Oryctolagus cuniculus: one gene and its partners. The protein of the gene in region 3 binds, or shares a complex with, the protein of the main gene of each other region. Links are inferred from orthologs where the notes say so. Each region holds a gene or a part of one and is shown on either strand. Other genes may lie near its edges. The genes, in order: TMEM107, TMEM231 and CEP290.

Region 1 (4,380 bases), on a different chromosome or scaffold from region 3:
CAAAAATGTACCAGTACGTGGTGCACTCCCAGCGCTCGAATATGAAGAACGACAGGGCTACAGATGCACTACAGTGCGCTGCGATGGCTTGTGGGCGACACACAGGAGTCAAGGAAAGTCTTGGGGCCACAACAGCGACGGGCTATGGCAGGCCAGTGGTGGAGCTCCCAGGCCTTGTGCGACGGCGGGAGTCAGCAGCCCTGCCTTCTGATTTTAACAGGCCCACGTGTAGCGGCCTGCGCTGAGCCTGCACTGCCGAGACCCCAGGCTACCCTCACCCCACATGGAGGGGCCAGCCTGCACCCCCGAGGGGAGGTCAGAGCAGGCCCCCATGGACCCCACAGGAATGCGGACAGCGACTTGATCCTCTCTGCTGGAATCACTCTCCACCAGGAGGCCCGCAACTGGAGAGTCAAGCGCCTCCCTCAATCCTTGGCTCTTTTACCCCCTCCTAGAGGATAGTGGGGTGTGTGTGTGTGTGTGTGTGTGTCTGCCTCCGCCTCACCCCCATTTACCTCCAGGGCCCGGTGCACAGCGGCATCCACAACTGTTTGAGGATTGTGTCAAATCCCTGCACTGCCTAAGCAGAGGCGGGGCTCCTGGGGGGAAGGGGGTCGCTGAAGGGAGTCGCGCTGGAAACGGGTCGTGGGGGCAGAAAGGATACAGATGAGGCTCTGGGTGCTGTTGAACATGGACACTCCTGAGAGGAAGCCGGCCAGCTCCACGGCAAAGAGGCCCAGGGTGACCGAGAGGGCGGCCACCAGCCTGCAGAGAGGAAGGGGAGCGGCTCAGGACCCCCGGCCTCCGGGACTCCCACCGCCTCTTCCTTCGAACCCCCACCCCCCCAAGAGCTCACTGCACGTCCTGCTTCTCATACTCCTCGGGGGTGAATCGGAGGGGCAGGCAGGCCTGGACGTTGCTGTCCTGGGGAGCGGGCAGAAAAGGAAAGGAAGTGAGAGAGGCCGGCTGAGACCCCGGGCGGGGTGGGCGCGGCGACCACGGCGAGATGGCGACGCGGAGTGGCGGCCGTGGGTCTTACCCGCGACCAGAATAAGGTGATGACGACCACCAGATGCGCCAGCAGCGTCAGGAAGCGGGAGGGCACGAGCCCCGAGATCCGGCTCATGCTCCTCAGGGCCGCGGGCGGCGGCGCTGGGAAACCTCTCCCGGCCCGCGGCCTTCGCGCGCCTCAGGGGCCGCCCCGTTGCCTTGGTAACTGCGTACGCGGACCGTGCGCCTCGGGTTCTGAAGATCTCGCGAGAGCCGTAAATTCTCGAGCCGCCGTCGTGCAAGTGCGCCGTGTTCGGGGACCCCGCTGCGGCCGCCAGCCTCCTAACCGGAGGACTACGTCCGGGGGTTCGCTGGCTGCTCAGGTCCGGAGCGGCGCGGCCCCAGGCTGCATTGCCGGGAATGGCCTGTCCGCGGAGGAGGTGCTCGCGGACTGCTGCGGCCGGCGTGCCGGTCTTAGGTTGGAGGCTCAGACGCGGTCTTCCCTTTCCGTCCTCGTAGCTTCCTTGTGCCCTGAGCCCAACGTGGAACGTTCACTGGACCTACCTTGTCCGGCAGGCCCGTTGTCACGGAGCCCTTGGTGGTCGGAGCACCCCAGACATCTTTGCCGGGTTCGGTGAGGGATTTGCATAGTGCAGAAGATGGTGGCAGCCTCAGCCTAGGGACGGCCCCGCCGGGACTGGACAGGGCGAGCGTGGACGAAGCGTCCCGCACAGGAGGTTTGGAGCTGCCTGGGACGCAAGGCTCAGCTCTGGTTCCGGGGTCTCCGAGGTACCGGCCGCACGGGCTCCAGGAAGACCCCTGCTGCTTGCGCACACCCAAGGGGCTTCCCTCCCCGCTTCTGAGGAGAGTAACCCCAGCCTTCAAGTCAGCCTGCACTGCAAAGCCTAGTGGTAGGCAGCCCAAAAGGAGGTGGAGCGTGGTCGCGGCAGGCCTTGCAGCCACCAGGCGCGACGTGGTCAGATTCGTATTCTCCACGACCCAGGTTGCAATATGGAGAGACTAACGAGGAAGCCATAGAAGTATCCAGAAAGGACAGGGTGAAGCAAAGACGATGGAGCAAAGCAGAAGGATTGGGGAGAGGGTCTGGCTCGGGGCCTGTGGGTGGGTGAGGAAAAGGGAGAGTCAAGGTGACCCAAGGATTTTGCGTTCAACAGCTGGAGGTTTGGAGCATTCTGCTCAGTAGGCGTTCTGCCTAGGAGACGGGCTAGACAGTACAAACCGAGTTCTCAGGTCCTTAGGTGTGGACTCATGAACAGGGAGTGGGCAGCCTATGTCTGCTTTGTCCTTGTCCACAACCTTGGTTTATAGAAACTTGCCTCAGAGAAAGTCGTTTCTTGCCTGGGTTTTAGAGCCTGCTGGTGGCCATGGGCTGTGCTGCGGGTGACCAGCTGTCCTCCCGTAGGTGGCCACTCACTCCAGGGCTGGATTCGGTATCTCAGCATTTGAATTGGTGACAAAAGAACTTGCAAACTTTTCATTTTTTGGCATCCTAGGAAATTTCAAACACAACGTAAAAATGAAACAGTATAACAAACCCCTGGGAGGGCCACTGCTCTGCCTCAACAGTTGTCAGCACGTGGTCAGCTTTGTTGCCCCCTCCCCTCCACCACAACCCCACACGTGTGCATTGGGGTACAAATAAAGTCCACTTGGCTGACATGTCTGAAATCTCTGTTAATCTTGGGTTTGCCCTCCTCCCCATCACCTCACCTTCCTTCTTTTCTTGCTGAAGATACTGGGCCACGTGTGGCGTCATTTCATTCTCTCCTGGCACTGTGTTTCCTGCAAACTGATGGTCAGGTCTAATGGTTGATCTATGTGTCATTCAGTTTTCTGGTAAGATCACATCCCGAGGGATGGTTTGTACTTTCTGTTCACCTCATCAGGAATCCTGCTTGTCTGTGTGTCTGTCTGTCTGTGGTGCTGAAGTCTGAGTGGTGGCTTCGGGTGCGGTCAGGCTGAGCCACCCGTGATAAAATTCTTCATCCATTCTCACCTAATGGTACCACGGGTCCTCATTGCCTAACTGCATGATTTCAATAGCGATTGCAAAATGGGGATGGCCTAATTCGAGCCCTCTTCTGCATCTACCAGCTAGAATTCTTTTATCAGTAAGAATTTTCCATGAGATACGAGTCATACAGGAAAGGCAGGATAAATGGGTCCTTTTTTTTTTTTTCCATTATTTGCCAGTTTTCAGAATCCCGGTTCAGTAGTGTCCTACAAACACAACTAGATCTTTTTAGTAGCATGGTGACCACATAGATTTTAACATCTTTTGTGTATTTCAATCTACCTTTTTTTTTTTTTATAACTAAAGAACATTTATTTTCCACTAAGAGTTTGCCTTGAGGATGTAACTAAACTGAGCCACCCCCCACCCCATCTCTAAGGGTTAGTACAGTGACTGTTATAAAGCAGATCTCAACAGTCTGAAGCTCTGGAACCAACATTAACTGACAAAAAAATTCCATCTAAATCCTCATAAAAATGTTTAAGTAAAAAAAAAAAAAAAGGGAAGAAAAAGAAAAGAAAAAAGGGGCAATGGGGGTTTCAGATTGAACAACATTCTCACACTTCATCTGATACATTCAATCTGGCTAGAGTGTACCAAGTGGAAACAGGATCACTATAATACAAAACTCCCACTACAGCACGCTGTACACACCTGTGTTCCAAGCCCACCCCCATCCCCCTACTGCTTCCACTCCATTATTTTCCCGCCTGTTGGGCCTGCCGGCGGAGGAGCACATAGATCTTCTCTTTGATCCAGTCTTTGTTATAAGGCTGGTATGTCTGGGTATCAGCCCGGTAAACAAGGCAGCTGAGGTCTGCCAGATCATCAATAAAATCAAACAACTGACTGATATCGTATGTGATAGACGGACTGTTGGGATTCATTCTTTTCAGATGTTCCTCATACATTTTACAAATACCTTCCATGCATTCATTCACAGATTCATAGTCAGCATAAGTTCTGCCTTCTGGCCTCTTGGTAGGCTGTACCAGCAAAATGGTATGAGACATCGCGCCAAACTCTTCTCTTTGCAGCCGCTGCCGACACCGCCGCCGCACACGAGCTTCTCATTCTACCTTTTTTTAAAAGATGCATTTATTTTATTTGAAAAGTGGAGTTACAGAGAGGAAGAGGCAGAGAAAGATCTTGCATCCACTCGTTAACTCCCCCAGATGGCCACAACAGCCAGGGCTGGGCCAGGCCGAAACCAGGAGCCGGGAACTCCATCCAGGTGTCCCTTGTGGGTGATGGGTCCAAGCACTTGGGCCATCTTCCGCTGCTTTCCCAGGTGCATTAGCAAGGAGCTGGATTAGAAGTGGAGTCAGGACTTGAACTGGCGCCCATATGGTTTG
Region 2 (3,224 bases), on a different chromosome or scaffold from region 3:
CAAATGGAAAATGGAAGACCTCTCTGTCTGCCTCTCCTTCTCTCTGTGTAACTCTGACTTTCAAATAAATAAATAAATAAATCTTAAAAAAAAAAAAAAAAAAGAAAGTCTAACATGAATGGCGGGAGGCCTGGTGATCTGCCATTGGCTTGGAGAACACATCCCAGTTAGGATTGGGGTGGTGGTTGGTGGTTTTTTTTGTTTGTTTGTTTTTGTTTTTTCCTGCTTTAGAAAATTGGCTTCTGGAGAAGTAGCAGTTTTGAGGTGCTACTTAAACTTTCGATACTAACTCAGGCATATTTATGAAAAAGGAAAACTCAAGTAACGAAACCAAACGAGACAAAATGAGCCGATCAGAGGAGACGCAGGCTGTGCGGCTGCCGGCGGCTGTTCTGGCCCCTGCAAGCGCCCATCCAGTTCAGCCCCGAGCATCTGCAGAGCCCAAGTGGAGTTCAGGACCACGTCCACTGTGTCTTCCCCCGGGACTGTTTGTTTTTCTTTCTTGGTCGCGGGGAGGGAGCTGGCGCCTGGGTTCAGCGGGACCCTGTGCCATTGTGTTTGTGCAGCAGTGAAGTGGCTGCTTCCCAGACTTAGTGGGCGGCCCCCTGTGGCTTTCCCAGACTAGAGAAGAAGACCGCAACCAAGATGGGAAAATGGACGTGCTGCATTTCAGCCTGGAGCTTCCCCTGCAGCCCACGGAGCACGTTCTCGGCGTGCAGCTCATCCTGACGTTCTCCTACCAGCTGCACGTGAGTCGGTGCTTAGGGAGGCCCACCTCTCCCTCCCGTCCTGCAACGGACCAGCGCCCTGTAGGATTAGCACAGCAGAAGGCTCTTTCCCGGATGAAGGTGGTGGTTTGACCGAGGCAGCTAAGAACTCTTCCCTTGGGGTCACTAGTTTACAGGGCTGTGAGGGAGTCGGGGGCTGGGGCAGAGTGCTTCCTGCCCGGCCGAGGGTATGGGAGTCGCCGTGGACGGGTGACTCTGGGAACCCAGAGCCGCTCGGACCTGCTCGCTGCTTCTCGCGCTTTCAGAGGATGGCGACGTTCGCGATGCAGAGCATGGCGTTCCTGCAGTCCTCGTTCGCCGTCCCCGGGTCCCAGCTGTACGTGAACGGAGACCTGAGGCTGCAGCAGAGGCAGCCGCTCCCCGCCGGCGGCCTTGACGTCCGGTACAACGTAAGGCGGGCTCCCGCGCAGGCTCTTCAGGAAGGCCGTGGGGGGTGGAATGCAAAGAGAAGTTTATTGTGGTGCAAAAAAGTCTTTGAAATCTGTGTAGTTTCTCCGGAATAGGCATTTTCTGCCAAACCTCATGTATGTTACTGTGTATACAGTTCTTAGAAATGAAAGTTGGGCCGGCGCCGCGGCTCACTAGGCTAATCCTCCGCCTTGCGGCGCCGGCACACCGGGTTCTAGTCCCGGTCGGGGCGCCGGATTCTGTCCCGGTTGCCCCTCTTCCAGTCCAGCTCTCTGCTGTGGCCCGGGAGTGCAGTGGAGGATGGCCCAAGTCCTTGGGCCCTGCACCCGCATGGGAGACCAGGAGAAGCACCTGGCTCCTGCCTTCGGATAAGTGCGGTGCGCCGGCTGCAGCGCGCTGGCCGTGGCGGCCATTGGAGGGTGAACCAATGGTAAAAGGAAGACCTTTCTCTCTATCTCACTGTCCACTCTGCCTGTAAAAAAAAAAAAAAAAAAAAAAAAAAGAAATGAAAGTTGGAAATACCAGTACCATTCCAATGAGGAAAAAAACTCCTTTAACTTTTTTAAATGGACCACATTTCTAGCTGCTTTACCTTTTTCTTTGCTCTTCTCTGAATGCTGTCTTTTATCTTTTTAATGTGGAGATGGAAGTGGATACAGAGCAAATAGTAAGCATATAATCCTTTGAAGCAGGAAATGATTTTCCAACTCCTAATTTTATTTGGTATAATTTGGTATATAGATCTTCAGATACAAAGTCCGGGTTAAGTTGCTGCTTTTCAGTCTTGCCCCCTTATTCACACTGATTATAGCTAGGGTGACCAGAAACCCAGTTTGCCCGGAACAGCCTTTGTTTATGTCTGTAATAACCAGCGACATGTTACTTTTCTTCTTTAAAAAATGTACTTGAGAGGCTGACAGCTCTCCAAATGCCCACGATGGCCACAGGGTCAGAGCTGAGAGCTGGGAACTCAGTCCAGGTCTCCCACGTGGGTGGCAGGGACCCGAGTACTCGAAGCGTCACTGCTGCCTCCCAGGGTCTGCATTGTCGGGGAGCTAAAGTCAGAAGCTGGAGCCAGGCATCTAACTCAGGCCTCCCTGACAGGGGCATGTTAGCCGTGAGCATGAAAGTCCACCAGAAAGGGGAATTTTACACATAGCTTTTAAACCCCTAAATGATGGATACTGACCCACAACAGGAAGAACTGAGAGTAAGCAGACTTGACTTATCTTTGAAGAAAAAGCTGTTGCTACTGGAATAGGCCATTGAGAGCGAGACGGTGGTGTCTGGGACCCGGCTGGGTGGGCAGGTGGGGAGCGGGGAGAGGGAGAGGACTCACCCACGGCCTCCCACTGTGCCCCAGGTGTCTGTGATCAACAGCACCAGCCCTTTCGCCCGAGACTACGACCTCACCCGCATTGCCGCTGCCTACCAGGAAAGGAACGGTGAGTGTGGGGGAGCCCGCCCTCAGCCCCGCTCCAGCGCCTTCCAGCCTGGTGGGGGTCGCGGGAGAACAGGCTTGGAACCCTGCGACCACAGTGGTCCTTTTGTGTCTTCAGACCCCGCCCCCCACCCCTCTGGTCCGTTAATGATTAATTGCTATGCTTATGCCATCACTGGCTTGGTGATTTCCTTAAAAAAAAAAAAAAAGGTTAATTAAGGTGTTGCTCATACCACACCTGTGGGAGATGAGGGGCGATTGCGGTCTTGTTTTCAGAAGAAACCGAGCGTGTTGGCAGCTCAGCGCGTGCCAGCAGCCCCCTGCGGTCCTGACTGGCAGGTGGGGCCCTGGCACTGCCCGCAGAGCCCCAGAGTGCTGCTCACGGGCCTGAGGTTGTCTCCAGAGGACTCTAACCTGCTGCTTGGCAACCAGACGTCGTGGGTACCACGCTCAGTCATGTGCACGTGAAAGGAGTTCGGTTCCAGGGTTTCTCCCTATGTTTAGGTCGTACAGAGTCAGCAGCATTCCAACAACACAGGACGCATTAAGACAGAACCAAAACACACTACATTATTCCATACACACTA
Region 3 (3,649 bases):
GATAAAGTTGGAAATACTTCAGTACTGAAGAAAGGATTAGAAAGTAGGGCTCTGGAATCAGACAGATTAAGTTCTAGTCCTATTTCTTTTATCTGTTAACTTTGTAAAAATGGGTGAGTTATTTCTGATTTCCTATTTTATATCTAGCTCCAGGAAAATGTCAAGCATTTTCAATAAGTATTTATTAAATAAATGAATTATGGATTGATTTTAATGTGTTTAGACAGACAACTACTATGAAATAGAAAGTTAGGGCAGTTGAAGATACTGGTAGGAAAGTGGTTGTCAAATCTTAGCTGAAAAGGTAAGGAAGTCAAGATTGAGGGGAAGCCAGAGCTTCTTCCGTGTCTTCCAGCTAGGTTCAGGGGCCCAAACCTTTGGGCCATCTTTTGATGCTTTTTCCCAGGCCATTAGTAGGGAGCTGGATCGGAGGTGGAGCAGCAGGGACGCAAACCTGTGCCCATAAGCGATGTCTGCATAACAGTGGCGGCTTTACCCACTGTGTCACAATGCCAGCCCCAATTTGATGTTTTGAGCCATGGTCTTTATTAATAGAAATATGGAACAAAATGGGTTGACTATCAGATTTTACAGATGATCTAAATTTGGGCTGTTCAATATGGTAGCACTAACTGCTTGTCATTTGCATTTATATTAGCTCAAAAGTAAAATCAAAAATTCAGTTCTTCAGTTGTACTAGCCACATTTCAAGTACTCAGTATCTGTATGTGAATGGTAGCTACTGCTTTAGACAGTGTAGAGAACATTTCCATATTCTAGGATGTCCTGTTGGATAATAGTGGTCTAAATGGTCCATAATGTGAGAGAAAGAGCCGGTTAAGAGCATCAGGGATCAGTGACTAGGGTAGAAGCCCTTGTAGTTTGGAGCCTGGTTTTGAAAGGCTCAGGAGAAATCTTGGTAGTTCATCAAATACATTTTGTGTCTTTGCAGTAGAGTCCATAAAACTAAAACTGTGACTCAGTAGTTATAACAGACCCTGAGTGGTTAATAGTCAATTGTTTGTAGCTCTGGATGGCTTAAGAAAAGCTTAAGCAGTTGTCAGCCTGTGAACTAAAGCTTAAATAAGCCAAATCCTTTAAAAAATCGTCCTTTAGCTAGTAAGCTTTTAAACATCTGGTGCTGAAGGATAATGAAAATTGAAAGACAAGAGAATTGTTTGCTTGTTGTTAATTCATTCGAACTTCCACATATAATGGGATGATTGATACTTTTGCTTTATTTAAGATGGCTCAGCAGTCTGCTGGTGGACGGGACACTCGGTTTTTACGTGATGAAATTCGCCAACTTGAAAAGCAGTTGGAACAAAAAGACAGAGAATTAGAGGATATGGAGAAAGAGTTGGACAAAGAGAAGAAAGTCAATGAACAAGTAAGGCACATTTTTTTTTTTTCAGTGAATCTTAACTGTTCATGTTATCTTTGTAGAATAACTGATTTTGCTTCTTATAATTATTGGTTATATTATCAGTTTCTATAATATATGTTATGTTTATAGAAATTTGTTCACTGTCTAAGGTTGTATATCACTGTTGTCATTACATCTTTAAAATATAGGGGCTCAGTACTTCTAGTGTGGCTTGGAGATTAATTCTTTATATTTGGAAGAATGTTTTTCTCAGGACATTGAAATCACATACATCAAATTGATAGTTTTGAATATTGGTATGATAACATTAGTAAGTATTAAAAAACAGGTGATTTTCTTGCTGCCGTAGTTTATTTTGGTTACAAAGTTACATCTGTTTAATGTGCCTGTGTTAGTAGTTGATTTGGAAATGAATCTTTAATTTATGCTTTCCATATGGTTAATTAATTTCTTTGTTTTATGTAATATATAGGTTCTTGACAATTTGTGTTAACACTAACATTTTATAAATCAATTCATATTATAATCATTTTGCAACATAATTTTTTATCTCATGTTATTTTTTTGTTAAAAATCATGCAATATTTACCTAAATTTAATTTTAGGGAAAATAACATAATCTTTGCAGATAAATTTGTATTTTCTGTGTGAAAATAAGTTGTTTCTTATTTTGCCTCAACTGACCATAAACTTTGAATAGGCACCATGCTGCTGTGGTCCCTCATGGTGGACACTGTCCCAGCCCTCATGCCTAGAAGCTTTTTTGTGGCATATTCTCATAATCTTTATTTGTTATGCTCCGAGAAATGGAGTTAAAAATTTTAAGTAAACCACAATGATTGTCAGATAATATTGCTGTGTAAGACACTATATCATGAATTAGTTTGTAAGGAAAAGTATTCCCATTCTTCTTCTTTTTCTTCTTCTTTTTTTTTTTTTAAATAATGAAAGCCCTTGCGTGACAATCCAAATTTATTGAAATACTGATGTAAAGTTACACAAAATTGCACCACTTTAATTAAGGCTTATAGTTTACATTTGTCTACCTTAAAGTAGTTGTAACGTTAGGTTTGTCAATTTAAATACTGTGGCTTCCTGTTGAATAGACACACAATCTTTACACCCAAATGTTAATGCATACAAAGCAACAGGGCATTGTTAAATACAATATCAATAATTACTGCATATAATAATTAATAATTAATTACGCCTTCTGACCAATTACACATGATTACAATTACTTCCCACTTTCACATCCACAGGACTGGCCCACCATTTAACATCTCAACCAAAATATCGCACATATGAAACAATATAACAGGCAAAAGTGCTAAACCCTGTATATTTGATATCGCAGATACACCTATGCATGAGCAAACAAGGGATTCACAGTGAGAATCTACAGCTTCAGAAGCCTGAAAATGATTGACAAAAACTGTTAAATGATTAAAAAGTTGTTTGCAACTTGTTGTAGACCCCCACTGTATGCACAACATTAAAAATCATTCCCTATGTAAACAAAAAAAGAAACCCCTACCAAGAGAATTGAAAAGTCTGAGCATTTCTTTCTCAATGGATAGTAAAGGTAGTGTCTTCAAGACATTATAGTGAAAGGACTGTCATATTTTAAAGACAAGATCTTTGTCACCACAGGCTTTTTTAAAAGTTTTAAAAAACTATATGACTGTGTTAATTAAAGTGCTTATTTTGTACAATATGATGATAATGATCTTGAATTTCTTCAAAAAATTACAATAAGTTACAAGTATCAAGCAAAGCTATCTAGAGTAGTCTATATAAGAGCTCCTTGGGCTTTGTTTTGTTATGCTAAAATAGTGGTGCTTTTAGGGTTTACATTATTGTACTCCAATACAAAGTATGGGTGTGTTAAAATATACAACACACCATTTTCATACATGTACAATATTGGTGAATGAAGAATGTCTCTTAGCTATAATACTGAATGTAGCCTCTGGTTTACCAGCTGTATACTCTAGGGCTATTTATAAGTAAGAACCTCTCTTGTGATACTGGAAAGTGATTAGAATGTGCAAACTGATACAATAGCTTTCATCTGCCTCTTAAAGTGTATCATCCCAGGAAAGTCCATTTAAGATGTTGGTAGGTTTAACAAAGTTGGAATTCTGGCGCTGTTGAGTTGGGTGACAGTTCTTCAGACCTGACTCAGAGCTACAACACATTTAGTATATTAAAGCAGCTGACATGATGACTTTTGGTAGGCCTTCCCAGGCACTGGGGTTT

The links.
Region 1: CEP290 (region 3) and TMEM107 share a complex: the UniProt entries of both Homo sapiens proteins name them as parts of the tectonic-like complex. The link is inferred for Oryctolagus cuniculus from reciprocal best matches to the Homo sapiens genes CEP290 and TMEM107.
Region 2: CEP290 (region 3) and TMEM231 share a complex: the UniProt entries of both Homo sapiens proteins name them as parts of the tectonic-like complex. The link is inferred for Oryctolagus cuniculus from reciprocal best matches to the Homo sapiens genes CEP290 and TMEM231.

The regions. Positions count from the first base shown.
Region 1 is NC_091448.1:52,667,084-52,671,463, forward strand, and holds the start of TMEM107 (transmembrane protein 107), read right to left. Parts: upstream 2,947-4,380; 5' UTR 2,722-2,946; intron 2,501-2,721; 5' UTR 1,127-2,500; coding exon 1,040-1,126; intron 925-1,039; coding exon 862-924; coding exon of another isoform or gene 857-861; intron 766-856; coding exon 665-765; intron 96-664; coding exon 1-95. UniProt on the Homo sapiens protein: Plays a role in cilia formation and embryonic patterning. Requires for normal Sonic hedgehog (Shh) signaling in the neural tube and acts in combination with GLI2 and GLI3 to pattern ventral and intermediate neuronal cell types.
Region 2 is NC_091449.1:57,924,524-57,927,747, reverse strand, and holds part of TMEM231 (transmembrane protein 231), read left to right. Parts: intron 1-620; coding exon 621-749; intron 750-1,033; coding exon 1,034-1,177; intron 1,178-2,559; coding exon 2,560-2,641; intron 2,642-3,224. UniProt on the Homo sapiens protein: Transmembrane component of the tectonic-like complex, a complex localized at the transition zone of primary cilia and acting as a barrier that prevents diffusion of transmembrane proteins between the cilia and plasma membranes.
Region 3 is NC_091442.1:90,800,443-90,804,091, reverse strand, and holds part of CEP290 (centrosomal protein of 290 kDa), read left to right. Parts: intron 1-1,246; coding exon 1,247-1,390; intron 1,391-3,649. UniProt on the Homo sapiens protein: Involved in early and late steps in cilia formation. Its association with CCP110 is required for inhibition of primary cilia formation by CCP110.